Linked DNA regions of Lepisosteus oculatus. The protein of the gene in region 2 interacts with the protein of the main gene of each other region in a pairwise test. Links are inferred from orthologs where the notes say so. Each region holds a gene or a part of one and is shown on either strand. Other genes may lie near its edges. The genes, in order: ppcdc, txn2, scyl3 and rbm45.

Region 1 (7,945 bases), on a different chromosome or scaffold from region 2:
TTTATCACATCAGATAACATTGGCTAATTATTTCAGCTTTCTTAAGTGTCTTAACATCGGTCTTGCAAATGCTACTTGCCAAGGAAGCCATATACTGGATTACTGAAATCCTTCATGCATAATAAAGTGCACATATTCCTAAAATACATTTAGTTTTAATAACATAATAAAGCAAAAACCCCAGCAAAAACATGAATGATTTCTATCACAGGTTCTATAAAAATTGATTTTTTACATTTATTTTGAGAAGTTTGAGAATTCGTGAAACAAAGTGTCACACCTTTATCCCTACATTTAGCTGTAAATAGCCTTTAATAAAAATGTTCCTAGACAAAATAGAGATCAAACACCATGTCAACATTGCACTTTTCTACAGTATCCAAAGTTATGGAATATAAAATAATGAATATTGAATCAGACTTTTTAAGATAAGCCAATATTTGTATTTGAAGCAGCATGTCCATATTTTGTGAACAATTATGTAAGAGTTGCAGTAAACATCACTATTTAAGCTGACCAGGGTATAACTCTAAGAACTATTTGACATTTTAAGCAGCTGGGCATTCTGGCATCCTAATGTATCATTTCTTCCTGACACAAAATACCATTCTTTACTGGGTAACATAAAAGGTTAGCCACTGGTGCAACTGATGTGTAAAAGGGACTCAGCAATATATATGCTTTAATGTTAAAGTTCGAGGAGACATATTTCCTCTCTGCTTGGCTCTCCAGCATAGTTTTGAAGTTTGAGTAGGTAGCAACGTCAGCATGCCTAGGCTGCAAAGGAACGGGTAAAGGTTTATTCCATGCTGAAAGGAAAAGAAATTAAACAAGATATTGGCTGTGAAGTCTTTTGAAATTTAAGTTTTGAAGTATGCCTATTACAAAGACCTCAGAACTGATCCAAGACTTTTGGAATCTCTACAATACTGAGTTTCCATTGACTTTTACAACCCTCCAAAAGCAGAAATGAATACACTCCACTAAGAAGAGTTTTTTTTCCTTTATGGCAATACTATTAGCTCTAACATACTTTTCTCTGATTCAACTAATGTCACAGGGATACCTTCACCATTTTAAACATCACTTTACTTGTCCTATACAATTTCTTGCATTATGAATTCCTCTTTTCGCATACCCCAGCTTGGTCTCCATGAGACACAGACACACAGACGGGGAGAGAAGCCTGGGGTAAGCCTGGGGTAGTTACAGGTGTTTATCTCCAAGAGTTATCTTACATAAAGGCTATTTTTGTATTGGTTCTCTAATTTAAAGAGGACAAATTTTCACACTATACAACTTTCATGTTTCACTTTTCATATATGGAAATACATTTTAGTTTACCCTACAACAGACCATAGTCAGACTAATTTGCAACTCACAGGTGTGGATTTCAAACACAAATACAACCAAAGCAGGTTGACAAATGTGTTTTATTACTAGATTAAAATCAATGAAAAATGCTTGTCTGAACATAGTTTATCCATATTTTACATAAGGCTTCAATCTCTCTAGTTTTGTATCCATTTCAAGACATAAAATTACTGTAACGTAAAATTGCTGAATAATGTAAAATTGCTGAATTATGAACAACTTAAATGCTAGAAGAGAACCCAATCCCCTAAAATTAATTCAAAATACAGACTCCAGATGACCACACAAGGAGGCTGTGCACCTGAACAAACAAAAACATAACATTTGTAAAGATTCTGTAAAGACATTTGACATTTTCATAAAAATATAACTTTTCATATTCCATGTTAACTGTATATTCTTCCCTAGAAACTAGCCATATTTACCTATGATGGATACCAAGTCATCACTGTATTATGGAAATAAACTTGTAAACCTCAGTTTTTACTGAATGAAATAAGATAATTTAAATTCATGCTGACAATCACATTTTCTTTTTGTTTAGCATGTATTTAGACCGGTCGATTTCAAAACACTATGAGGATATGTAAGGTTTAAAGAAAGGGGTTATTCAGGTAATACTGCAAACCTAAAAACCCACTCCCAAAAATTGAGTCCACTTAGAGGAATATTACCAATATAAGTTTTTAACATTTTAACATCTTGGCATATGAGAGACATATCAGCTCCCTAAAAATAAACCTTAATAAGTCATTTTTGGGATTGCCTCAGTGTTGGGTTTGTTAAGTTTTTTTGCAAAAAGGCAAACATGGTGGTATCATCTTCTAAAATAGAAGGTCCCAGTTCCGGTCATCTGGAGCCAAAGCCCAGCAGGTTTTCTAAGTCTCATTTAATGATAAACATCTTAAAATCTTACAGAGACCAGACTAAACTGGAGTTGGGACTATTTTCTAACTGATATAAAATCTTGCTTTCCATTATCTGAACAAGTATTCAATAAGACCTAAGTTCAGCATTGACAATCAGGACAGAGCAAAATAAAAGTGTAGAAGTGAATAAGATCACAAATGCAATAGGTTGGAAAAGTGACGATTTATTTATAATGATATTTAAAAAATTAATACAATTAATCGTTATTCAGTAACCTACATATCCGGGTCTTTCTTGGAAATCTGATATTATTTTAGTTTTATTTCGGGAGTGGTGAACTTTTACATTTAACTATAATAGTGTCTGAAGAGTGTTTCACAGATATTTTAAAGACAACTTTACATTCCAAATTTAGCAATAGCATTTAGCATGTTCAATACCTCAACAAAAACAGTATTCATAAACCGAAAAAATGAAGGAGGCTATATGGTTTCAAAAAGTACTTTATTTTCTAGGAAAAAGACAACCACACAAGTCCCCAGAAAAGTGCGATTACAACACGCATCACACCTATTACTTACCCTAGGTAATTCTAGAAGTTTTCTGACCAGCAACGGTAATTTTATGGCTGCTACGCTACCAGTTACCCCAATCAAGACACGAAAATTAGAAACGGTGTCAGTTTTTGAATCTATCTCTGTACAAAGTACGCTTCCAGCTGGCCGATGCATGCCTGTTTCCTCAACACTGCCGGTGTAAACCGGAAAATGACGGCGAAGAAACCAATAACGAGGAGCAATGATGGACATTGAACGATATTTATTTTTGACTTTTGGAGATGTTTTATGAAATCAAAATATTACCATTTAATATTTGAATTTCAAGTTTAAATAATTTATTTACACAGATTTAGTCAAATCTGGAAATAAACCTTAATAGTTAGATAAGAACCCCCCTGTACATATTGGTATACGCGAGACTTGACGGAAGTTGAGAACCGAAAGAATGGGTGACGTTGTGGAGGAGGTTTCCACGCTTGTGTGGAAAACGTAGTAGATGCACTTTATTGCATTTTTCCCCTCTGCACTAACAAAGTTGTACATGTGTTAGTAATTCTCCTAACACCTTCGGGATTAGCGTAGATAACATGGACTTTGATTAAAAATGTGTATGCATTCGGTATACCTGATCATTTTTGGAAATATAAATTCTCCTCAGTATATGAAATTAAAAATATGCTGTCCTGAAGTACAGGACAAATTCATTAGGAATAAACCGTAAGTGTTCTCTCAGTTTACGGATTTAAAGAAAAAAGCATTATTTCTTGATTTGTTTTCAAACATAAATCGGCATATTTGAAACACTACGATCCATAACATTTACAGCCTCGGTCTGCACTTAAGGGACACTTAAGGTTCCTTGATAAGAACTGATTCTACAAAGAGAAAGACATGCATTCAGTTACAGAATAAAACTACTGAAAACGTTTTATGTAAAAAAAAATCTACGCTCATAGTGAAAGTGGTAACAGAAGCTTACGTTGTACTAATTTAAATGTCCCCAAAACGTAATGAGATAATATAGTTACTTATTTTAATAAAAAAATACAGCATAATTTAAAATAATATACAATGTATGTGGTAGAAAACCGTTTGGAAGAGATTTTGAAACATGTGATTTCAAATATCTTATAAAAAGGTTCATAGGTGTACCATAACCATAACACGTCACAGCCATATTAAATGTGCAGTGAACATTACTTGAACCCAATAACGTAGCCCATTTGATGACCCTGAATTGGATGTTTTACATTTCAACTTCTGTATGTGTAAGAAAATGCTAGAGAAACATGGGTAAGCCAACGTGAATAGTATATTTTATAAGAATTTCCTAATTGTTATGGTGTCGTATATTATGTCATGGAATTGATGCGTTTCAGTCAAAAAGATAATCTGGAGGAAACAAAATCATGGTACAGTCAATAAACACAAAGATGCAACGGTATAACAAACTGACATGAAACATAAATGTCGTCTATGGACAACGAAATATTATTATAACGTATGTTGCTGAAGCCGTAATCATCCATTCTTACAGAAAACACTTCCCATCTCCCTCATCATAAACACACTTTCCACAGCACCTCCCACCAAAACAGTGATCCCGCAATTCCCCTAGACTCATAAGGTATCGTACACCAAGAAGAGGGAAGAGGCTATAAACGTGACTCTTGTATAGTGTTATTTTTAATTCAATTCCAATTCTTTTTTTTTGTTAATTCCGTCTAAATTATGATAAAATGCGTAGCTCGATGACTTAAGGTGACCTAGGTTTCCATCACACGGTATCTCGCCAATCACTTCAGTACCGTGGAGAGCGATTGCACGGATGTCGGAGTGGGAAGTTCTCGCGAGGACTGAGCACGCTTGTCTGTTGGCCGTTGCAGCAGTGACAGTGGAGACGGGGAACGGGATAGGACGACTGGACAGCGGTTTTGATTTTTACACCCACGGTCTCAGGAAAAATACAATAAAAAAAAATCTATAAGGTTTCCCCAAATTGATTCAAATCCGACATTATTCAGTATAAGTTGGAGTTTCCGTATTTCATCCGAAAAAAATATAGAATGCAGTAAGAAACACTGCATTGTGTACTCTTGTTTGGACAGAGAAGAAGGTAAGGCGATTATTTTACGCATCCAATGGAAGCCTAAGTAAATCAAGGCCCTCGTTCTTCAGGTCATTCCGACACACTTGAGTCGCTGGTGAATTACAGAGAAACGTGTTCATTTACAGCGTAAATAAACGTCAGTTACATTCATGCATTTTATGGCATTTCGTCTGTCTTTTCCACCGTTGGATGTACTGTATACTATAATGTGTCAAGCATCATAGTAAGGAATTGATGTGTGTAATAGTGCAAGAAGATAACCTCTGTTGGCCGACTCATTTCGAACAAGACGAGTGATTCAACACTCCGATTTACAGTAGATTCTTCTAAATGGCTTGATGACAACATAGGATTTAAAAAAAAACATATAGGTACGGACGATTCTTATCTCCTGCTTAAAGACAGCTGATTTCAGTATATTGCCCTGAACTCTAGTCTATTTTTTCTAATCATTTATGTGTTGTTTTTGAAATATGTATATGCTTAATTAAGATCTCAGTTGCATTACGTGTCAAAACAATGCATTGCTTAATCTAGCACAATGTCAAAGTCGTATGATATAATATTAAAAATTACATTGTAAGAACGTAATGACATCCTACATTCAAGGCGTGTTATCAGATATAATATAATGCTGTAGTGAAGGGTGTTGCTGTAGTGTTACGTGGAGCTTTTATCTATATTCAGGAAAAAGGAAGTAAAATATGCAGAATTAATTCATGCTGACTATACATACTGTTCAGCAACTACAAACAGACAACGTTAGCAGATAGCAGTTCCATATTTTGCAACAGTGTTTGCCAGAACAGAGGTCACCAGTATATGAAAAGCTTTTATCTTGTATTTTGTATACTGTAACCTCCATTCCTGACAGTACTGTAAATCCAGTTACCATAGTGAAAACATGTCTTCTGTGGGTTGGTGCAATATTTGACAAAACATTTATTTTTTCTTGGAATTGTGATATGTTAGAAATAATACTATTACAGTTTTATAGCTGTGCTGTTAACCTCATCTTTTTTGTTAAAGTTATGACAGTAGACTCCAGTTGACCTTGAGCAATGAGCAAGATATCCAGATTTTAAAACACAGAACGTTTGTACACTCAATGTATCATAGATCCATATAAATTTCAGTAAGGGTAATTTAATTGATACAGCACATTACATTTCAAAGGATCCAAAACCATTTTACATACAGTATATTAAAGGATCCACTTCATCCACCACTTAAGTGTATCACTCACCTGGGTGATAGACAACAGCCAATATGTGAGATTAGTACATGCACAGCATTTGAAAACAAGTTTCTGCTGTGTACAAATGTCCTTGTACATTTACAGAAACTTTCAGTCACTTGGATTATGTTTAAAAGCAGTAGTTCAGTTGTAGTGTATGTAAGTGAAAAACGCAATACATTGGACTAAAAAAGTGAAAAAACAACATGTTAAGATTTATTGTGCAGCCTTCAAAATTTACTTTAGTCTTATCATTTGACAAGGGTATAAAATCTGCAGTAAACTATAGCCAACTTTATTTCTGTGGTTTGTACAAAGATCTTAATGAAAATAACCTGCCTTAGCTCTCTCACAGTTGTGATCAGTAATGGGGAAGACCCCAGTAGCATTGTTGTTCTTCAACAATATAGGTAATTGCTTATGGTTGTATCAGACAGGAATGGAAGCGCATGGAATTGTGAGCTCAGAGAGGGCTCCCTTGCTGCTGAATTTATCTATATAATAAAGCCTAACATTGTTGGACATGGAAGTATACACTATTAACTCCAACTTCAAAGTTAAGACATTGATTTAAGTTTCCGTTATCCAACAAATGTATTTAAATGTGAGTTTGCTGAGACCCATTTGTGAAACACGTATCTGGGATGTAGCCCAGTTGCTGATGATTGAGCCATAAACAAGCCTTGGTCATGTGAAAGTCTCAAAGTGTGCTTGTAAAATATGTAAGTACCCGGAGAAAGATGAGAGAATTGCTTAAACTGAGATATGAAATCCAAGGAAGCCTGAATCTCTGTGACTGTTAAACATAGCCCTAAGTGTTCTCTGAAATATTTTGAATAGCACCCTTTGCATATATGTGATTGCTTGTAGAAACCTGCCAGCTTTTAATGTTGCAAATAAACATAACTGCCTTAAGAAGATCTTTGACCTACTTTGGTGTTTGTGTAAATATCTAATGTTGTAGAATGTTTTTGTATAAACGGTTTATTGCAAAATATTTCAAATCCACATCCTAACAGTTTTTTAAGTGTTGTCCTCCAGAAGAGAGCTGAAAATGGAGCAGTGGATTATGAAAAAATAGCAATGTATCGTCTGAGTAGCAGAACGTGTTTTGACAAAAGTGTACACATGGAATATATATATCTGATGACATCAATATTATTCTAAGAAAAAATTAGTATAACTGTTTGCCCTTAACACAGAGAGGCATTAGAGAATTCCTGACAAACCTTCCTTTAAGAAGGCACTATATTTAGCAAACTTCATTTCTTCAAGCTATATGCGTCCTGCTGGTGACCTGGGTGACTTTGTTCCCATGGATTGGTATGACTACTGTGTAGATACTCTGCTCCTACTGTAGATATGTGTCTAAAGATATCTAACTGAATTTTTAACTCAGTTCAAGGTAGCAGAGTTATTACATGTCCCAGCTTTCAAGTAATTTTGTTACTTGCATTCTGTATTTGTTCTTCATGTGATCTGAATGCTGCCATAAATTACTTCTAGCATTTTATATTTTTGTAGTACTGTGCACATTTGAGCTGTAATAGGAGTTAAAGAGCTTTGCTAGTATAATATAGAGTGCTAGTGATTGTTATCCTCTGCTGGAGGATTTGTAGGATGTACTGTAGGAGTTTTTCAGATTTTGTAAATATTTTATGATAAGGAATGCATTTATATAGTTTTTCCATCACAAAGCACTCTAAATTGTGTTCTAGCAGTTCTCTTAGACCGATGCCTTCTATACTCCTAGTCTTTTACTGGAACATTGTCCCAGAATGTTTTTTTTCCAGT
Region 2 (7,102 bases):
CAGACAAGTGAAATACAAGAAAACATACACACAAGGGAACACATAAGAGAGACAAAGAAATACAAGACACGATAAATACGCTGAAATTGTATCAATATAATTCATTCTAATGTTCAATGAAATCAGCGAAACACATGGGCAGGGCAGCCCAGTGAACTACAGAGACTACATTACCCATAAGCCCTGTGGGCGACACCATTTTGACGTCATCGACTCATACTTTTGTATTTTTTATGAGACCAAAAACTACAAGAAAACGTAACGTACCAGTCGTATTGTCAGGGTACATGCAATAATACATGTACATTTTATGGAAAAAAAGATTCAACAAGGTAAATGCAGATAAGGCCCGTCCATGCTTCAACGTTCTTACAACACAGAAACAGACACATTTCAGAAAGACATTCTGAAATAAAATGTCTTTACATCCGTCTTAAACTGTTCAAACACGGTCTCCTCTCACACCATTCCCTTAATAATTATGTTGCGCAAGTATAATAATGTTTTAAAATACAAACGATATTTTCATCTTCCTTTTCAATGGGATTAAAACGTAACAAATGTATTTCCGATTTCAAGTCTTTCCGATAGCGCTTTGAGACTCAGCTCCGTGTATCTCTGTCGCCACCCAGTGGACATTTCTCGGAAGTGTCACCGCCCGCCGGAATTCGGAAAAGTCCCGGGACTGAAGCTGTGTGACTGGACAAGAGCCTGTCTCCCGCCTCCTGCTGAAATCTCAGCGCCGATTGGACAAAAGCTGCTCACAGTCCGGATCCAGTGGAAGGCCGATCCACTCCGGGTTTTCCTTAGCCGGCAGTCCGGATCCAGTGGAAGGCCGATCCACTCCGGGTTTTCCGTAGCCGGCAGTCCGGATCCAGTGGAAGGCCGATCCACTCCGGGTTTTCCGTAGCCGGCAGTCCGGATCCAGTGGAAGGCCGATCCACTCCGGGTTTTCCGTAGCCGGAAGTCCGGATCCGGTGGAAGGCCGATCCACTCCGGGTTTTCCGTAGCCGGAAGTCCGGATCCGGTGGAAGGCCGATCCACTCCGGGTTTTCCGTAGCCGGAAGTCCGGGTCCGGTGGAAAGGCCGATCCACTCCGGGTTTTCCGTAGCCGGAAGTCCGGGTCCGGTGGAAAGGCTGATCCACTCCGGGTTTTCCGTAGCCGGAAATCCGGATCCAGTGGGAGGCCGATCCACTCCGGGTTTTCCGTAGCCGGAAGTCCGGATCCGGTGGAAGGCCGATCCACTCCGGGTTTTCCGTAGCCGGAAGTCCGGATCCGGTGGAAGGCCGATCCACTCCGGGTTTTCCGTAGCCGGAAGTCCGGGTCCGGTGGAAAGGCCGATCCACTCCGGGTTTTCCGTAGCCGGAAGTCCGGGTCCGGTGGAAAGGCTGATCCACTCCGGGTTTTCCGTAGCCGGAAATCCGGATCCTTTACGATGCACGCAAGACTACGTTACAGATCACTGGAGTACATTATACAGTCAAATAAAGATAAGGTACGCACAGCTTTCATGTTGTGATACTTAGACATGGTTTGGAGACGTTCCCTCGTGTGTATTTTGAATTATTCAAATGCGTGTCGCTTTAATTTGGAAGCGCATCATTTCAGTGCATGAGCTTACCTGTTATATTGGGCGAGATTTCACACGGATAATCAAACAAGAACGAGTTTGCCCTGGAATCCATCCCACTGCCCAACCTGAAAGTCAGAGCATGAGAACGGACGGATTGTATGGCGATTGTGGAGTTGCTCGACCACATCAAGTAGGCGAGAAGTACACTCTGCTACTACGACATACGGTCTAATTATTCAATTTTCGATTATTTCTCATCTTTAGGCTATTTCTACATCTAATAACGAGCAAGTATAATGATTAAGCCAATGATACATTATATTTTAGATTCGGTTCAGCAGTATTGAGCAGTAAAATAACATCAATTTGTCTACAGGAAATGTCAGAATTAGAAGCCTTCTTTACACCATTTTACCGATCTGTTCAGAGTGTTTTAACAACAGAAAAAACAAAATCAAACGTAAGGTTTCTGGGCTGCTTTGAGATAGACAATTATCATCTATATTACTTTTAAATCTATGCACACTGTGTATCTTTACCGGGTCGATTCAATGTACAATTTTGTACTGACGCCTTAACCTTATTATTCATACAAAATCTGTTTGACAATAGTCATGTTTGATTCCACTCACTTTCCCCAAAGAGGTGCTCCAAAATAGTTTGACAAGATATTGTGAGATTGCGAGAGGGATCTGAAGTATTTATTAGTACAAGTATAACTAAATTGTTTTCCTTGTAGTCTAATAAAGGTTGTAAATTCTTCCATAGTTTCTGATGGGCTACTGTTAGTTTCTTAAAAGCATCAATACCTAGTTCCTGAATGATTAAATTAGGGAAACATACACCACCTACTTTGCTTAATTTTGTAAATAATACTGTCGGTATCGGTATTAGATGCTCTAAACCCTGTAGCATTTAGGCCTCCTTCTGCCCGTGTTTGACAAATAGCAACCATGAATAAAGTTTTTTTTTTATTTTACTAAGGTAGAGAACATCAAATCACAAAATCACCTTTTTGAAAGTCTTAATACCAAGATATTTAATCACATCTTTTACATGTATATTACGTACGGAGCAGACACTTTCCAACAGCCACCAGTTCACTTTTCTGATATGTAAAGAAAGACCAGAAACAGAGGAAATGACTTGTAAACACATTTAATTGCTTTGTCCACCTCTGTGTGCTTTCTCAGAGAGAGAGTTGTATCCTCAGCCAATTGGGAACACCTGTAATCTCTTTATCCTGTACTTGAATACCCTGAAACTATTTGTTATAGGGGTGTAAGCAGTGGGAAGAGGAGTGGGCTCGTGTCGATCAGACTTCCAAGGGATCCGGATTAATAGAGCTAAACCTGAACCGGATCAGACTTTCAAGGGATCCGGACTGGTAGAGTAAAACACAGAGCGGATCAGATTTCCATGGGATCCAAATTTATAGCTGGATTAAACCTGGAGCAGTACTTTCTCCCTTGGGATCCGGAAAGGTAGAGTAAATCCCAGAGCGGATCAGACTTCCATGGGATCCAGATTTGAAGAATAAAACCCGTACCAGATCAGACTTCCAAGATACCCGAACTGGAACTGTAAAACCCGGACCGGATCAGACTTCCATGCAATCTGGACTGGTAGAGTAAATCCCGGAGCGGATCAGTCTCCCATGGGATCCAGAATGGTAAAGTATGTCCTGGACCGAATCAGACTTCCAGAAGATCTGGACTTCTAGAGTACAACCTGGAGCTATATAAAAAATAAATTGAACTGAATTGAATTGAATTCTGTAATATTGGTTTTAAAGTCACTATAGATATCAAAGATGACGAGATTGCTTTGTAGAAGATGTAAAAAGCAAACAAAAGATTCAAAAGTGGGTGATTGTAACAATTAAGGAAAAATATAGTTCCTTACGTATTCAAGCACGGGATCCATTTACACTCTACACTGCAGCTCCTGTTCCAGTTTGCTCTTTCTCCATACATACACATTTGTGTACATACACATGTCTACATACACATATTTGTGTACATACAGATACACAAATGTACACATTCAGATACACACTTGTGTATATACTGGGGGTTTATGAAAATTGGTGAAAATCTGCCCAAGCACTTAAGTCAATAAGTAAAGTATTTATTCATGAACCCCAACTTGTAGGTGTTTTTTTCCAGAATTGAACAGAGCAAGTGGTATAATTAGAGGCACAGTTGTTTTCTGGCTCAACTAAAAGAATAATAATTGAGGCACATTTCGTGAAATAAATATTTATTAATGATCACAAGCCACAAATTACACTACACACAACAAAACTTACAACTCACAAGTTCCAGTATGTACAGTATTTACTAAACAAGGTGTTTCAGAGGCCTAACATTCTGGTCACCCAGAAAGCCACAGACTGGTACTAAGCATTAAACTCTTAATACCTACAGAGGCCACATACGAGATAAGCTGCTTTCTAACTGAATACAATGCAACCTGAGGTTAAATCTCTCTCTCTCTGTACCCCAGGTGCCACAAAATAAGTGGGAGCCTATATCCCTATCCATAAAAATGCACCCTAAACGTTTCTAGCTGAGGTTGCCTGGTGCAAGCTTCAAGTCCCAACTCCTCTGGACTCTTCTCTCCACTCCTGCCCTGCTTCCTGTTTCTTCTTCTTCTGTGTGCTAGTAATGTGAGTTTATATTGTTTGTCTGTACTGCTCCTTGACAGTCATTAACCCATTACTTACCTAGGGATACTAAGGTAAACTCTACAATTGTTTGTGCTCAAGAGAGCCCCCAGTACCTCAGCAAAAATCCACTCTGCTTTGAAGCTAGAAGTGTTTGTTCTGCCAAGTGTCACAAAGGTCATCTAAAATCCAAGAAACACTTCTCAGTCACCTAAAGCTGTAAATGTCCCCAATAACTGCTTTCATCATGTGCAGAGGGGTCATTAAAGTGGTGAAAAAAAGTAACAGATTTCAGCTTTTGCCTGAAGCATTTTCATTATTTAGTCTTCCAATTTTAAATTCCCTAATTTAAGAGAAAACTAGTGTCCTCACAGAGCTCAGTGTTTTTCCAACTTGATTGCCAGCTCAGCAGGTGTGATCCTGGTTAGTACCTGGATAGGAGGCCTCCTGGGAAAAACTAACATTGCTGCTGGAAGAGGTGTTAGTGGGGCCAGCAGGGGGCGCTCACCCTGTGGTCTGTGTGGGTCCTAATGGCCCAGTATAGTGATAGAGACACTATGCTGTATAAAGGCGCTGTCCATTGGATGAAAAGATAAATTGAGGTCTTAACTTGAAAAGAGTAGTGTGTAACCCTGGTGTCCAGGCCAAATTTCCCTGTGATCTTTACCAAACATAGCCTCCTAATAATCCCCCTCTATGAATTTGCTTCATCACTCTGTTCTCCTCCCCACTGAGAGCTGGTGTGTGGGGAGCGGACTGGAGCACTCTGGCTGCCGTTGCATCATCCATGTGGGGCTGCACATTGGTGGTGATGGAGGGGAGACCCCATTACCTCTAAAGCGCTTTTCAGGACACTCCACTCAAAGTGCTTTACAGGTAATGGGGTCTCCACATTATATAAGTGTAAGCAATTATTATTATTATTATTATTATTATTATTATTATTATTAAAACAGAAGAATAACAGGTTTTAAAACTAAAATAAACTAATAATAAAAGCAAAAAAAACTTTGCCATGTCCTTCATTAAAAGTTAACCCCAGTAACAGTGAGACAACTAACAGCAAAGGACATTAAAATAAGAAAACAAATGTTAAAATGATATTAAAGAAAAATAGAAAATAACTAAAAGAGTTCCTATATTAAAAAGAAACAAAACAACAATAACAGAACTGTAGTCCATCACACTAAAAGACAAAAACAAATATTAAGTAAATAATAATAAATAATAATAAAATGACTGTTAAAGCAACCAGTAGTTACGGTACTCTTGGGGGGTTATGACCAAGTTGAGTCAATAATTAAAATAATTATTCATAACCCCCAACTTGTAAGTGCTTTTTCCAGAATATAACCCAACAGTTGGTATAATTAGAGGCAAGTGAATTTGTTGTTCTCTGGTACAACTATAGTGAGAGGAATAATAATCCAGGCACACTTGGTTAAACAAATATTTATTAATGATCACAAGACACAAACTACAATACACACAACAAAATATACAACACACAAGTTCCTCTATGTACAGTATTTACAAATGAGGTGTTTCAGGGGCCTAGCATTCTGGTCACCCAGAAGAAATGAACTGTATCACACTACCTTTGTACTGAGCGCTACAGGAGGTCATTCTTGCCATCTGCCATAAGACTGTACAACGCATCCACCTTGCGTCTTGGCAGAGGCAACAGCGACAGTGACCTGTTTCTGGACTAAACGCATCTACACATCTACTGCTACATCTGTTCTCTTTCTTTTTCTTTTTCTTTCTCCCGTTTACAACCACTTTTGTGCAATATATGCCAGGGACCTGTGCAATACATATATATTTATATTTATATCTATGGTTACATCTATATTTATATTCAGATGTGTGATACGATTTTTCTGTGTACTGTTCTGTTCTAGTTTGTTCTTGTGTGTCCGGACTGTGAGTAACTATTGTATTGTATTGTATGTATTGTACTATTATTATATAATTCGTTACACTGTGGCTGTGTTGTGTGTGTTAAGCTGCTGTTGCACTGCAATTTCCCTCACGGGATCAATAAAGTATCTATCTATCACTCTCTTCAAACTGTATCTCACTCCTTTATACTGTATCACTCTCTTCAAACTGTATCTCACTCCTTTATACTGTATCATAAGTCTTCACACTGTACCACATACTGGATCCTGCCCACAAAGTTGTGCAATTCAGCTCTATATTACTATAATGAACTTCATAATACTGCTCTTTGTAACTTTTCACACAATGTATTTTTATAGTTCAGTAATTATTTACAAGGTTAATTATTAATGCTCCTTTTTTGTAATGACAACAGCAGAATGACATCGTGACTTGAACAATTGGTACTGAGATTGCGGCGAGCCCAGTGAATTCTGGGTTATCTGTGACGACAGCGCGTCGGTGTCTCGGTTTTGCCGGAAGTGTGCCTCCAGATTGTATTCCGGGTGGCGCAGAGTGCAGAGAGCAGAGAGACGGTAAGTTGTTGCGGGAAAGTTTAATTGATGTCGGGCATTAATCGATCGGTACTGGAGGTGCAGGGTATGAGGCTGAGTTGCCTTTAAGGCTTAAGCGGAAGGAGCGCGTTTCTCCCAGTGTGGGGCGCAGAAAGTTCAGGCAGCAGCCGGGCAAAGTCACGGAGATTGTCTCTCGTCGCCAGGACTCAGAGCAGAGGGCAAGGGGTTTGAGTGTGAATCTTAATTATAGTCGGTTCCGAGTGCAGCGCAACCAAGTCTGATTAATTTGGCGTGGGCTAAAATTCCTCCACAGCGATGTGAAAGACTGATATTGAATTATAAGAAGAGTTTTGTTGTGGTCATTGCAGTTAAAGGTGGCGCAACCAATTACTAAGTGTACA
Region 3 (7,147 bases), on a different chromosome or scaffold from region 2:
TACAATCATAAATATTAAACAACTAAAAAATGAAGTAATAGTTCTTTTGGAATCTTGATAGGCCCTACATTTGGTGGAAAGTGATTGGATGCCAATCACACTTAATTTCATCCCAAGGCCACAATTCACAATCGTTACCAAAAATGAATGTACCTGTGGCCCAACAGATGTTAAGGGGTTAAGCTGATGCAGCTGCAAAGGTACATACAGACATATTTAATCCACCAGGACAGTCTAAACATTTCTCACCTCAGGGGAGGCTTCAGAGAACTTGCAGACGGTCTCCATCCCCCCAAGTTTCCAGTGACCGTCGTCACTCACAAAGACTGATGACGAGCACACATTGTTATGGCTGGATTTACCCTGAAGTACAGACAAGCCAGGTTCAGTTAAAGGCAGATAAAAGGAGAAATCCCCACACCAGGCAGGAGTGTGTTACCAGAGCACGGACGAAAAAACTGAGATGTTGTCACATGTGATTGTTTTGTGAAACAGACTACTTTTTAAGTCAGCATGTGTAAAAACTGTTCCTAGGTTCTACAGTTACATATATTTTCTTGTGTCTGTAATTGGTACAGCACTGCACTGTGGAGTAGTGGTTAAGGCTCCCCATTGGAGGTTGCAGGTTCAAATCCCAAGTGAGGATACTGCTTCAGTACCCTTGAGCAAGGTACTTTACCCCATGTCACTCCCATAAACCCAGCTGTGTACACGGTCACCAAGGTTTATATGTAAAAAAAGCAACTGTAAGCTCTGTGAGTCACACTGGATAAAAACATTAAACAAATTAGTAATACAATGTGCTATTACTCTATGAGGGAAAAGTATTTTTTTTCAATCATTTTGTTTAATGACTTGAATGAAATCTGTGCAAGGAACAACTCTTGCACAAGTGGTATGCATTGTCATTAGTGTAATTTATCACTTGCTAATATATTTAAATAAATTACAGTCATTAAAACTTTCATTCACGGTATTTTTGCTATTGATAAGTTATCAGAAAAGGTGCAGCATTTTCTCTTGGACAACCTGGAAGTGAAGTGTTTGGGGAAAAGGTGCTTTCGGCCAGCGCAAACTAACTCGGTGTGCTGAAGATCTCTGGTGGCCAGCTAGGCGAACGACTCTTACTCTGTCGTGAAGGAATACGAGGGCCTGCAGAATGTCGTAGAGTCCGGAACAGATCTCCTCTGGAGACAGGCTCTCCAGCATGGCTTCCAGTGGCTGCACGTGTTCCGTTACCAGATGGATTCCCCCAGCCTGCACTGTGCACGACAGGAAACGCAGTAGGCAGGGGTGACGCAGGGTCTTCAGGTGCTGCCGTGTGAACCAGGTAAGAGACCACATGAGTTGAGCAGGTAAACACTTACATTCATCCGTATGAGCGCTCCATGGCATGTCAAGAGTGTAGCTGTTCATCCTAATGTTTGCAAACATCAGCACAAAGGTCATGAATTGGGGCCATTCATGACTTTTCCCCAGCCAAAATAATTAAACCTATTCCGATTCCATAACCAAAATTGACACAAAAAGATTTAAAGGTAAGTCTGTCTTGGAAATTCACTAAATATGATGCTCTTAATCTAAATCACCTCTGATTAACCCAGTGGTGCCCATCTTTTGAAAACCACGCTAATTATTTATACAACTGTATACAATTATCCATTTTATTTTGACAAAATCATCTTAGCAACCACACAAATTGTCTTGGATTTCAAAATTCCTCTAAACCCAGGATGACTGTTGGGCCCAGGGACCAAGGCTGTCCTTCACTTTTACCCTATTTCAATTCACTGCTTCTTCTCCTTACCTTAGCAGCCTTGTTAACTTTATCCTCGCTGTCCGGCCTGTAGACGAAGACTGAGGCTGGCTTCCCATCTTCTAGGAGGGCAGAGTACATGGTGAGTCCGGATGGGAGGCTCAGCTGACATTCCTCCAGGGTGCAGCTCTTCAGTGTGCTGCTGTCCGAGCCCATGGTCACCCCAGGGAAACAGCAGTCCTTCTCCCGGTCTCTGCCAGTCAATCACCCAGCACAATGACTAATGATGCTCTGATGGAATGAACAACTGATGAAAGTATCTGAAAGCCTGGAAGACCGGGCAAAACTACACCACACCACTGTGCAAACTTAAATGACTGCCAAAGATCCTTCCACCAAATACTGAGTTAAGGTGCAAAATTCTTATGAAGAACTTCACTATGAAGTGACTCCTCGACCAGTCATTATATGCAGCGCATCAGTTTGGTGACCACCATCACAGAACGCTTTATGCAGTCCCGATAGAATAGTGGCACAGACGCATGCGGAGAGTACAGCAAAATGCAGAAGTACAGGTAATTGTGTTTCAGACTGCAAAACTTAAATCAACCAAACATCGTCGACCCGAAATAAATCCGTTAGAGATCATCTGAGTTTCTGCATCTTCAACGAACAGTAGTTCGATTAGTAGTGCCAATTCTGAAGATCTGATTCATTCCTTGTACTAAGATTTGAGCCTTTTGGCGTTATAGTTGATTGCAAAATGCATGGTCTGGAATCCAAAGACGGAAATTGCATACTAATAACCCCTCGTGTTAGGTGACTAACAGATGGAAACGTGTATTTTGCAATGGCCGCGGATTCTGAAATACACTGCACACCCGTTAAGAAACAAATTACACAAAATGAAAAATGTATTGCGACCGTCTGGTCTATCCATCTGTTCTGCTAATTTAAGCAAACTAGAAGGACTGTGTGGTTTATTCTTCATTGTTCGATATGACACATATTCCACTGAATTAAGTTACCTGTGAATAAATATTTACTTCTCTGAGCAGTACTTGCTCAGCTACCACTCCACTGTAGACCTCCTTGTTGTTTTAACAGGCTTTTCTACTGACTTCAGATGGTCACGCCATTGAAACTGCCGCCGATCTGAACTGTTTCACGCCTCATAATCGGTGAATGAATTCCATTTTGGTGGCGAAAACTTAACAAACACGTCTTACAGTTCTGAGCTTCCTGTGTTTCGACTGTAAACACCGGTTCTTCCTGTCAGGCGAACCGATTCTACCAACTCTGGAAAGGGAGTGGTTTTAGCTTTGTGGGTTAAACTCGGTGTTACTAAAATAATTAAACGTGGTTTTTAACTTATACCAAACGATATAAATATTATTAAATTGGACCTGTTCAAGCAATGTTCTTCTAAATCGTCACACTGTCGATGCACTGAGTATCACACACCTCTCTTATTCACCAACATGGTCGGTGCCGATTTTACACAGTAGTGCTTGTGCACAAGGGCACTCGAGCTTGGAGAGGTACTTGGTTTGGCTGTACGGTTAAACCAGGATAGACATGCAATACCGATACTTGATGTTGTGTTTAATAAATGCTCATAGCTGTAATTGAACCACGATTTCTTGTCTCAAACAATCCCTCTTATTCATTGTAATTGTATTATATACAGTTTAATGTCTTGCTGTCTTACAGCCAGCAGCCATATCACCCTGCAACTCACATCTGGCATCCCACTGAACTCAGCAGGTGTGAGCCTGGTCAGTACCTGGATGGGGCACCTCCTGGGAAAAACTAAGCTTGCTGCTGGAAGAGGTGTTAGTGGAGCCAGCAGGGGGGCGCTCACCCTGCGGTCCATGTGAGTCCTAATACCCCAGTATAGTGACGGGGACACTATACTGTAAACAGGCGCCGTCCTTCGGATGAGACGTAAAACCGAGGTCCTGACTCTCTGTGGTCATTAAAAATCCCAGGGCGTTTTTCGAAAAGAGAGGGGTGTAACCCCGGCATTCTGGCCAAATTTCCCATTGGCCCTTACCAATCATGGCCTCCTAATAATCCCCATCTATGAATTGGCTTCATTACTCTGCTCTCCTCCCCACTGAGAGCTGGTGTGTGCTGAGTGTTCTGGCGCACTATGGCTGCCGTCGCATCATCCAGGTAGATGCTGCACATTGGCGGTGGTGGAGGGGAGTCCCCATTACCTGTAAAGCGCTTTGAGTGGAGTGTCCAGAAAAGCGCTATATAAGTGTAAGCAATTATTATTATTACAGTGCAAAATTACCGATCCTCTTCGTAAGTAAAACACCTGTTGCTAGTAGTATTTTATGACTGCGCTCATTTTCATAAAACAAGCACATTAACGGAAGTCACGTACTCTGTATTCATGGCTGCTGTGGCTGTTCGAAGACAAATTAAAGAACCACCCTTTCTAATTCCACCTTGATAATACCGCACGATCGCATTTATATTGAGAGGCATATACTGTAGATCCGTTCTAATTCTAATGTTTGTAACTACTAGTTTTAGTGGGTAGCCACCGCATTAGCAATTTCCCAGTCATTGAAATATTGCCTCTGTTTTACAAATATCCTGTTAATACCATCTTGTTTCTTTGCAAGAACAATTGGTAAAATATCATCTGGCCATTCAAATTTGTTTAACTCGTACCTATAACACGTCTGCCTCTTCTATGTTAGCACTAATATCAAATTTCTGCCACTTACATGTTTACTTAAATACTGCCTTTGTGTTGTAGTACGTATTGTGTTCAACTACTGCTTCCACTCCTTACTAAAATGCATTTTGTTGTCAATGCTAGTAATTTAATTCACGATTGCCACTGACCACAGTTCACATTTAAATTTTAAACACAACAGGCTGAAGGACCCGTTTAAGTCAGACCCAGTAAATCTCAGATTTAAAACAAGAAGAAATGCCTTAAATACATACAAGAAACAATATACTGTTATAAATTAAAAAGGATTAAATCAGAAGATGCTGACTTCTTTTTTTTCTTGCTAGAGTCTATATGGAGCCCATTCTGGTATCATTTATGCTTCTGAAGTTTTTCAGTGTAAAAAATGAACCGTATGTGTTTTTTGTTCTTGCTATGAAAAAATATCCCTTAATGATGTCTAATCAATCATCAGACATGCAGTCATCTTTGGTCATCTGCGAAGGTTGGAGTTTACCGGGTGAGTCAGGCAGATTCAACCGACCTACTGCATGAAGATTTAAAAACATGTTGAACAAACTTACACATTTCTTAATATGTTACATCCAGCGATGCTGACAAATGCTCAATATCATTTCTTTCAACATGTGCAAAAAGGTGGGGTCTTGGTTATTCTCAGGAGACATTACCTCAGTATAAAAGTGGCCTGACCAAAATTGAGCAATTAATTTCCGACCCACAGAAATGAGTCTAACGATAGTATCTTCCACATGTTTTTATCAATAAAAGAATTAAAAGCAGTGCTTGTCATACAAGCCATTATGTCATGTCGTGGGCAGCCCAGGAACACGGTGTCTTTCTCTATTAACGATGAATGAATGGGAGGGACCGCAAAAGCAGAAGGAATTTCTAGCAGTTCATGTATAGTGAATGAGATTGTTGAATGGCAAATAAAGTTGTATATTATTACGTGCAATTTCTGTTGTTGACTATGTGCCTTTTATCTATGTATGCATACTTCATCTCATCTTTTTAAAAACTGCAAAAATAACAAGATTTCATAGTATTTCAAGTATACTCATTCAAAACTGTTGTTGTTGCTTTCCTCACCAAACCATCATTTGTAACATTAGGGACTACATTTCATACCTGGATGGGAGACCTCCTGGGAAAGCTAAGGTTGCTGGACTTTGTGGTTTGTGTGGGTCCTGATGCCTCAGTATAGTGATGGTCACACTTTACTGCAAAAAAGGTCTCTGTCCTTCAGATGAGACATAAAGCTGTGGTCCTGTCTCTCCATGGTCATTACAAATCCCAGGGTGCTTCACGAAAAGAGTAGGGATGTTACCTGAGTGTCCTGGCCAGATTTCGCCTTGGCCTTTACCACTCATGGCCTGCTAATAATTCCCGTCTATGAACTGGCTCCATCACTATGTTCTCATCCTCACTGACAGCTGGTGTCTGGGGAGCGTACTGGCGCACTACGGCTTCCACCACACCATCTAGGTGGGAAATACATCTTGGTAGTGTTGGAGGGGAGTCCCTATTACCTGTGAAGTGCTTTGAGTGGAGTGTCCAGAAAAGCACTATGTAAGTGTAAGGATTTATTTATTATAAAATATGTTAGTAACATAATAATTAAACATATAGTCCAAATTAGCTCCTTGGATATATAACACCTGAAATATTTAAACCAGCATACTAGTAGAACTGAAGAATTGGCTCGTGACCTCGTGGGGGGTATTTCAGTAAAAGATGTCTTGGTTTATTTCCAAATGTTTCTTAAGACTACCAGGAATAAAATGGTTGCAGTCCAGAATGCCTTCCTGTATTTGCAGGGAAGCTCTGTGCGCAGGATTAGCTAATAAGAAGGACCAGCCCTGTCAGACAAATCCAGCCCCCTCACAATACAGAATATAAAAAACCACCAGAGGAAAATTAGTTTAGCTGAGCTGAAAAGAAATTATTTGGAAGGGCAGGTAAGGTTTGTAAAATGTTATACCAATTTAAAATGTCAGAATGCAATAACAGATACGTTATTGATTATGCATTTGATAGTTGTAATCAATATCTGATATAGAAAGATCATTTAACTGGTAATTGAACACACAAGTATTTCAAAAACTTGAGAAACAGTGTTAGTTATAGTATAAATGATTAGCATTTGTTTTGTGATTTTCTTTTTTGTAGAGTAGCCACTTTTTAACTGTTGTTTTTTTTTTGCTTCCTTAGGTAAACAGCAACCATGACAGCTTCACCTGTATATGCTGTTCTAATTATTGTCTTTAGTTGTCTTTATCATCCGCTCTCTGCTGCTATAGGTAACTATCCAGTTGTGTTCTCAGAGGTAATCTGTAAAACTATGATTTCTGATGAGTTTCTTTGGGTGCATAAGGTTCTAGGATGTTATGAGACTCCTATGGTGTGTTAAGTGAGGGTGAACTAAGAAGGAAATATAACTTTGAATGGAAGGAAGAGGAATTTGTAGTGAAATTGAACTCACTTCAAGGAACATGTTTAAAAAAAAACACACATTTCTATACACACACAGTGCATGTTGTTAACTAGTAAGAAGTGAAATGTTTAGGTTACATGTATTATGTTTTATTCTGGTTTCTGATGAAAGTTCTAATCTGTTGATCTTTTTTGTGCTTTTCTTTTTTTTTCTATTGTTAGCAGTAACCACAATAATTGTA
Region 4 (7,114 bases), about 22 Mb from region 2:
AAGAAAAAAAAGCAGCTCGAGTGGCAATATAAAAAAATGATGTAAATGAGCACTTCAAAGGCTCAAACTTTCATGCTGCACTGTGATCCGGAGCTTGAAGGTCACATTTTACCATTTACCGCAAGGGCTGGAGTTGAAGCCAGGGCTCCATCATTTTCTTCTTCCAAAGCACTTAGTAGGATACCGTGGAAAGGATGATTTGGAACAGAGGATTGACTTGTGGAATCAACACTTTTTTCCCCCCCAATACCTAAAGAAAATCAGGTGTTTGCTGGCACCCTCTGTAAATGAATCTGTGCTACAAGCAGTGCAAAGGTGTATGCCACAGCTGTGATACAGCCATAAAAAGAACACCGATGAGTAAATAAGTACATTGTTTTATATTGCTGCCCAATATGACACAGTAACGCCATCATAACCACATCTGACTGGTACAGCCTTATGTTAATTGAACACAGATGTTCATCCACATTCACACAATGCTTCAAAATATTAAAAATCCTTTTCCTTCCTACGGGTGGTGGCTGGAGATTCTTCCAAATAATGATGCCGGAGGAAATCTCAATGGTCTGAATGCAGCATCCCTAAACCCTAAAAAATGCCCTAAACATAATGGCATTGTATGCTAATGCGCTTTACAGTTAAAATCCATTTTCAGTGCAGCCATTATCCATAACTGCCTCATCCTAAGGAAGGGCCTAACCCAGCCGGCACCTTGCTCAAGACAAGTGTACACCCTGGATGAGATGACAGTCTAAAACAGGGGACACAGGAGTAACTTACAGACACCGGTTTGAAAATTATGTTGAATACACGTTAACATTCTTCAATGACTTTACAGCCATTACAGATCATGTAGCTGAAACAAGGGTTTTCCATTAAACCACAATGAACAATATCTGGAACATGTTACCGCTTTACGTAACGTAAAACGGTTACCAACATGAATAAAACACGCTGTGGTATTTGCCAAACAGGCTACAACATAATGGTTGAGTTATGATCCCATTTACTTTTCTTTCATTTGCACACAAACACATTCAACAAGGGGTGTAGGGCTGTTAAATCCAGTGTACTGGCCAAAGTTCCCCCTGCCTTTATCAATCATGGCCTCCTAATGATCCCATCTATGAATTGGCTTCTCCTTCCTACTCTGTTCTCCACCCCACTGATAGCAGATGTGTGGTGAGCGTACTGGCGCACTATGGCTGCCGTCACATCATCCAGGGGCTACACAATGGTGGTGATGGAGGGGAGTCCCCATTACCTGTAAAGCACTTTGAGAGGATTGTTAAGAAAAACACTATTAAAAATGGTATTATATAAATCAATAGCCAGGCAGGACAATGTTGTTTCTTTGTTTTTACATTTAAAAAAATACCTTAGAACTAAAAATGAAATTAATGCATGCTACCTTACAGTAGAACCCCAAGCATGCAAGCCCATTTGTTTAGCTTTTGGTGAAAACATTTTGAAATGCTATTGTTACATGTCCTTCCACACATGAGATGGTTATCTGTTCGGGGAAAAATAACATACATCTCCCACCCTGGCCTTTCTATAACAAACACCAGTCATTGGTCCATCAGGTGACATCATACCAGAGCAGTCTGGCTGGTCACTTCACATCAAGTAGGACAAAATTAAAACAACCGCGTGTGTGCGTCTTAAAATCCCTAAATCCGATTAAAAAAAACTTCACTATCAGTTTGGGACTAACCTACCCCACCTATACAAAGATATTAATGCATATTTAAATCTATATATACGTATAATATTTACATCTAGATTCAATTGAGCTTTTATAAATACCGTCATTTTTTTAATCATTTTTACAACACCTAGGAAAGCTATAAATTATGTGCTATCTGAGGAACTTGTGCTCAACGCGTGCGAGAAAATAAATCTGCAAGAACTACAGTTACAGTATTTTGGACGTTTTGATGGCGAAGGAGCAAAGCACGGCTGTAATCCAGTTCGGCTGCATTTACAAAGACATCTTTTCTTCGGGATACGTTCAGAAGAACCGATTCAGAAGAACGTAGGTTCAAATAATACATTTTCGACATGTAAAGGGATGCCACATTTCAAATTAAAATTCAAATAACAGCCCCTCAGCTAAAAAGAAAACCTCAAACGTCAACAGGCATAAGTGGCAAGAAGTGCATGCAAATTTCAGGAAATCAGGGAAACACAATATCCATTCTGAAAATGGATTAGGACGCAAAATGAATTGCAGACATAAAATCGTTTAAAGGTGCAGTTACACGAACCTTTCATCTTACTTTGCTAAGAGATAGCCTTGAGTGGTATTTGAACGATATACAATAACTCCGGCTATATGCAAAATGAGGAGCGAGGCCCAGAAAACGCGAGCGCAGCTTAACGAAGCGCCTATGAGTTTAGCTTCACGCATTTCACTGTTTACGTATACAAGTTAGTGGGATACGAAATACACTATAAATAAAACCAATTCGACGGTTTGGCGAAAGAGCAAGCGTCACATTCGCCATGATTCCTCGAAATTCCATCCGCATTTTGTCAACGACGCTACGTGTGCTGAACAACAAGACAGCAAATGCAAAACGCCAGGAACTTGATATATACAAACCTTAATGGGTTTGGTTCCTTCTGCAAGACATTTCCCGTGCATTTCTTCCATAGCCCGACATGCTTGCGACGATTTGGCGAACTTAACGAAGGATACCCCTTTTGACTCTTTTGTTTGCTTGTCTTTCACCACCCAGATATCTTGAATTTCTCCGAAAACCGAAAAGTGCTCACGGATCACCTCTTCAGAAGTGGATTTGCTCGTCACTAAAAACAAGCGGCTGTTTGGAGGGTCGTCGAGACTGTCAACGGACGGCCTAAAACTATAATCTTCCATCTTCTTAACCTTAGGCCGCGGCTGGTTTGGAAATGTGCACTCTTACGGTTTGCCGTTTGTCAGACCAAAACCTAGAATCACTCGGATAACAAAAAAAATCAGACCTCACGCCGCCGCTAACCCTTTACAGCCACAAGAGCGCAGCACCTCCTCTTTTAATGCCACGGAAATTCTATAGCGCCATCTGTTGGCATGGATCCGGAATGCATCAAGTGGAAAGCACCACCGTGAACCCTTCTCTACTTCTCTACAGGCCTTCTGCTCGTGATGTCCTCCTCTTGTCGGTCTCCAGGCCCCCCAGAACAGGTTCTCTTCACCCCAGGGCATTTCCAAGACAATTGCTTCTGAAGAAGTGTTTCAAAAATATGATAAAAGCAAAGAAAAGAAATGCAACACTGACTTGGGGTGTGGTAGGACTCTGAGGAAGTGGAGGAAAAAATGCGGGGATGAGCCCAGCACTGAGACCACAGGGAGGAAGCAAAGCAAGAGTGACAAAGAGAATGCACACTGGCTGGATTCCGCAGACAACATCTAAATATATATCTCTGTCCTGAGACAACACCAGCTCAACCTGCCAAAGTGAGGGTTCCACTTTGATCTGACCAGTCACCTCTGAATTCACAAAAGTCAGTCATTCTCTACCATGAAGAACAGCCTATAATATACATGTAATATATTAGTATAATAATATACATGTATATATTCATTAAACACAAGGCTCTGTGGCTAAGGATCTGCGCCTGTGGCTGGAAGGTTGCTGGTTCGTATCCTGCTGCCGGCAGAGGAATCCTACTCTGGTGGGCTCCTGAGCAAGGCCCTGATCCCCAACTGCTCCAGGGGCAACGTATAAATGGCTGACCCTGCGCTCTGACCCCAAGCTTCTCTCCCTGTCTGTGTGTCTCTCAGAGCAAGCTGGGGTATGCGAAAAGACACATTCCTAAATCAAGAAATTGTATATACTGTAGCCAATAAAGTGATCTTAATTCAGTTTTAGTATGTGTTGGTAAAATTGCCATTTAAAAAAAAAATAATCATGAAAAAGTTAGTTATTTGTAGTCATTTTAATCAATATAATCACCTGCAGAATAGGTGGCTTGTCTTTGGACAGGTAATGTTTTCCTATTTTTTTAATTTCCTGTTTTATTCTGCAGAATTGTCTATATTAAAAACATCAATTTCAGTTTCTATATAAATATTTTATATTATAGCCCCGACTAGCTCTGTTGGTAGAGCATGAGACTCATAATCTCAGGGTAGTGGGTTTGTGTCCTACGTCGGGTACAAGGTTCTTTATTAACCCATACTGGGCAGCAGTATGGGGCGGTGTTGGCGGTGGAGGATTATGTTTCCATGACAAAGGCAACAACACTAGCACTATCCATGTGGAAGAAAGGCCTGGCAATCTACATCTGTCTCTTGCCATGAAAACTCTGTGGATAGTGATGGGGTAACTGTCCATAGGGTTGCCATGAATCGACAGCACTCATCCCATCCCATTCTATATTATAAATGGTACACCAGTGTGGTTCTATTTTTTAAAAACACATTTTGCTGAAGGACAGCGTGGCGGGCACAGTGGTTAGTGTTGCTAACCTTTGCCTCGCTGGGGCCTTGGATTCAATTCCCGACTTGTGGTGCTTTCTGTGTGAAGTTTGTATGTTAATCCCGTGTTAACGTGAGTTTTCTCCAGCTGAGTTTCCTCCCCCAGTTTAAAAACATACTGGTAGGTTAATTGGCTTCTGGGAAAACTGGCCCTGGTGTGAGGGTGTATGTTTGTGTCTGTGTGAGGCCTGTGATGGTCTTGTCCAGGGTGTACCCCGCCTTGTGCCTGTTGCCTGCTGGGACAAGTTCCAGCTCCCCCAAAACCCTGAGAAGCAGTTAGAAAATGGATAGATAGATAGATAGATAGATAGATAGATAGATAGATAGATAGATAGATAGATAGATAGATAGATAGATAGATAGATAGATAGATACTTTATTGATCCCGTGAGGGAAATTGCAGTGCAACAGCAGCTTAACACACACAACACAGCCACAGTGTAACGAATTATATAATAATAGTACAATACATACAATACAATACAAGAGTTACTCACAGTCCGGACACACAAGAACAAACTAGAACAGAACAGTACACAGAAAATCGTATCACACGTATGAATATAAATATAGATGTAACCATAGATATAAATATAAATGTATTGCACAGGTCCCTGGCATATATTGCACAAAAGTGGTTGTAAACGGGAAAAAGAAAAAGAAAAAGAAAGAGAACAGATGTAGCAGTAGATGTGTATATGCGTTTAGTCCAGAAACAGGTCACTGTCGCTGTTGCCTCTGCCAAGACGCAAGGTGGATGCGTTGTACAGTCTTATGGCAGACGGCAAGAATGACTTCCTGTAGCGCTCCCTGTCGCACCGTGGATGAATCAGACTATTGCTGAACGTGCTCTTCATTCCTGCAAGCCTGTCATAGAGGGGATGGGAGAAGTTGTCCATGATGGCCTCTAGTTTGGACATCATTCTCCTCTCAGCCACTACCTCCAAGGGGTCCAGGTCAGACCCAATGACAGAGCTTGCTCTCCTGATGAGCTTGTTCAGCCTTTTGGAATCTACTGCTCTAATCCCAGAGCCCCAGCACACCACTGCGTAGAAAATGGCACTCGCTACCACCGACTGATAAAACATGTGTAGCATCTTACTACACACATTGAAGGACCTGAGCCTCCTCAAGAAGTAAAGTCGGCTCTGTCCGTTCTTATAGATGGCCTCGATGTTCTTAGACCATTCCAGTCTATCGTCGATGTGCACTCCCAGGTACTTGTACGAGTCCACCATCTCCACGCCACTCCCATGGATGTAGACAGGAGTAGGTTTGACCTTTTTCCTCCTGAAATCTACCACCAGTTCCTTTGTCTTTGTAACATTCAGTTCCAAGTGGTTCACCCCACACCACTCCACAAAGCTGCTGACCAGTCCTCTGTACTCCTCCTCCTGCTCACCCTTGATACATCCCACAATTGCAGAGTCATCTGAGAACTTTTGCAGGTGGCATGACTCTGAGTTGTACTTAAAGTCCGAAGTATAGAGGGTGAAGAGGAATGGAGAAAGAACTGTCCCTTGAGGTGCCCCTGTGTTACTCACTACCAGTTCAGACACACAGTTCTGAAGTCTCACAGACTGTGGTCTGCCCGTCAGGTAGTCAGTGATCCACGAGGTCATGGAGGCATCGACTTGCATCTCCTCCAGCTTCCTCCTTAGAAGTAAGGGCTGGATGGTATTGAAGGCACTGGAGAAGTCGAAAAACATGATCCTTACAGTGTTGCCAGCCCTGTCCAGGTGTGAGTAGGCCCTTTGCAGCATGTAGATGATCGCATCCTCCACACCAACACTGGGCTGGTAGGCAAACTGTAGGGTGTCCAGTGATGAGCTGACCAGGGGTCTCAGGTGGGATAAGACCAGCCTCTCCAGTGTCTTCATGATGTGAGAAGTCAGTGCAACTGGTCTGTAGTCGTTGAGGGCAGAGGGGCGCCCTTTCTTTGGTACCGGGACCAGGCATGATGTCTTCCAGAGCACCGGGACTCTCTCCAAGCGCAGGCTCAGGTTGAACAGTCGCTGGAGCACTCCGCTCAGCTGATCAGCACAGGCCCTCAGAACTCTGGGACAGATGTTATCTGGTCCTGTGGCCTTACCCTCGTGCAGCCTCTTCAGCTCCTTCTTCACCTGGTCAGCTGTGATGGTCAGCCTGGCCCGGGGGATGATGCTCATAGTGCTTTCAGTGCTGGAGGTGTTAATGGCGGAGGTGTTGGAGAGTGGCAGCTGTGGGGGATGGGTGGGTGAGCAGCCGTCGGGGCTTGTAGCTGTAGGCGGCCATGTTTGTGGGGGGATGGAGGAGGTGTTGGGCAGTTGCAGCTGTGAAGGGTTAGGGAGCGTGTGGCTGTGGGGGGATGGGTGTTGCGCCACAGAGGACCCAGAATCAAACCTGTTAAAGAACTGGTTCAACTCGTTGGCCATCTCCAGGTTCCCTTCTGTTGCAACCCCAGCCTGTTTGAAGCCAGTGATCTCTCTCATGCTGCTCCATACATCTCTCACCCTATTCCTTTGCAGCTTGTCCTCTACCTTCCTCCTGTAGGCGTCCTTGCTCTCTCTTAACTTCTGCTTTAGCTCCCTCTGTACACGCTTGACCTCTTCCTTATCTCCCCCCCTAAAGGCTCTCTTCTTGTCA

The links.
Region 1: the proteins of txn2 (region 2) and ppcdc interact in binary tests that used the Homo sapiens proteins (3 or more experiments, as listed by UniProt). The two-hybrid records come from large-scale screens. The link is inferred for Lepisosteus oculatus from reciprocal best matches to the Homo sapiens genes TXN2 and PPCDC.
Region 3: the proteins of txn2 (region 2) and scyl3 interact in binary tests that used the Homo sapiens proteins (3 or more experiments, as listed by UniProt). The two-hybrid records come from large-scale screens. The link is inferred for Lepisosteus oculatus from reciprocal best matches to the Homo sapiens genes TXN2 and SCYL3.
Region 4: the proteins of txn2 (region 2) and rbm45 interact in binary tests that used the Homo sapiens proteins (3 or more experiments, as listed by UniProt). The two-hybrid records come from large-scale screens. The link is inferred for Lepisosteus oculatus from reciprocal best matches to the Homo sapiens genes TXN2 and RBM45.

What each region holds. Positions count from the first base shown.
Region 1 is NC_090700.1:51,226,882-51,234,826, forward strand, and holds the start of ppcdc (phosphopantothenoylcysteine decarboxylase), read right to left. Parts: upstream 3,001-7,945; 5' UTR 2,976-3,000; coding exon 2,826-2,975; intron 1-2,825. UniProt on the Homo sapiens protein: Catalyzes the decarboxylation of the cysteine moiety of 4-phosphopantothenoylcysteine to form 4'-phosphopantotheine and this reaction forms part of the biosynthesis of coenzyme A.
Region 2 is NC_090707.1:39,758,200-39,765,301, reverse strand, and holds the start of txn2 (thioredoxin, mitochondrial), read left to right. Parts: upstream 1-4,082; 5' UTR 4,083-4,245; intron 4,246-6,562; 5' UTR 6,563-6,722; intron 6,723-7,102.
Region 3 is NC_090704.1:8,501,714-8,508,860, reverse strand, and holds the start of scyl3 (protein-associating with the carboxyl-terminal domain of ezrin), read right to left. Parts: upstream 3,023-7,147; 5' UTR 2,785-3,022; intron 2,048-2,784; exon of another isoform or gene 2,010-2,047; 5' UTR 1,973-2,009; coding exon 1,808-1,972; intron 1,315-1,807; coding exon 1,129-1,314; intron 364-1,128; coding exon 250-363; intron 1-249. Other genes in the region: prg4b (proteoglycan 4b), read left to right, coding at 6,697-6,772. UniProt on the Homo sapiens protein: May play a role in regulating cell adhesion/migration complexes in migrating cells.
Region 4 is NC_090707.1:17,836,237-17,843,350, reverse strand, and holds the start of rbm45 (RNA-binding protein 45), read right to left. Parts: upstream 3,018-7,114; 5' UTR 2,888-3,017; coding exon 2,612-2,887; intron 1-2,611. UniProt on the Homo sapiens protein: RNA-binding protein with binding specificity for poly(C). May play an important role in neural development.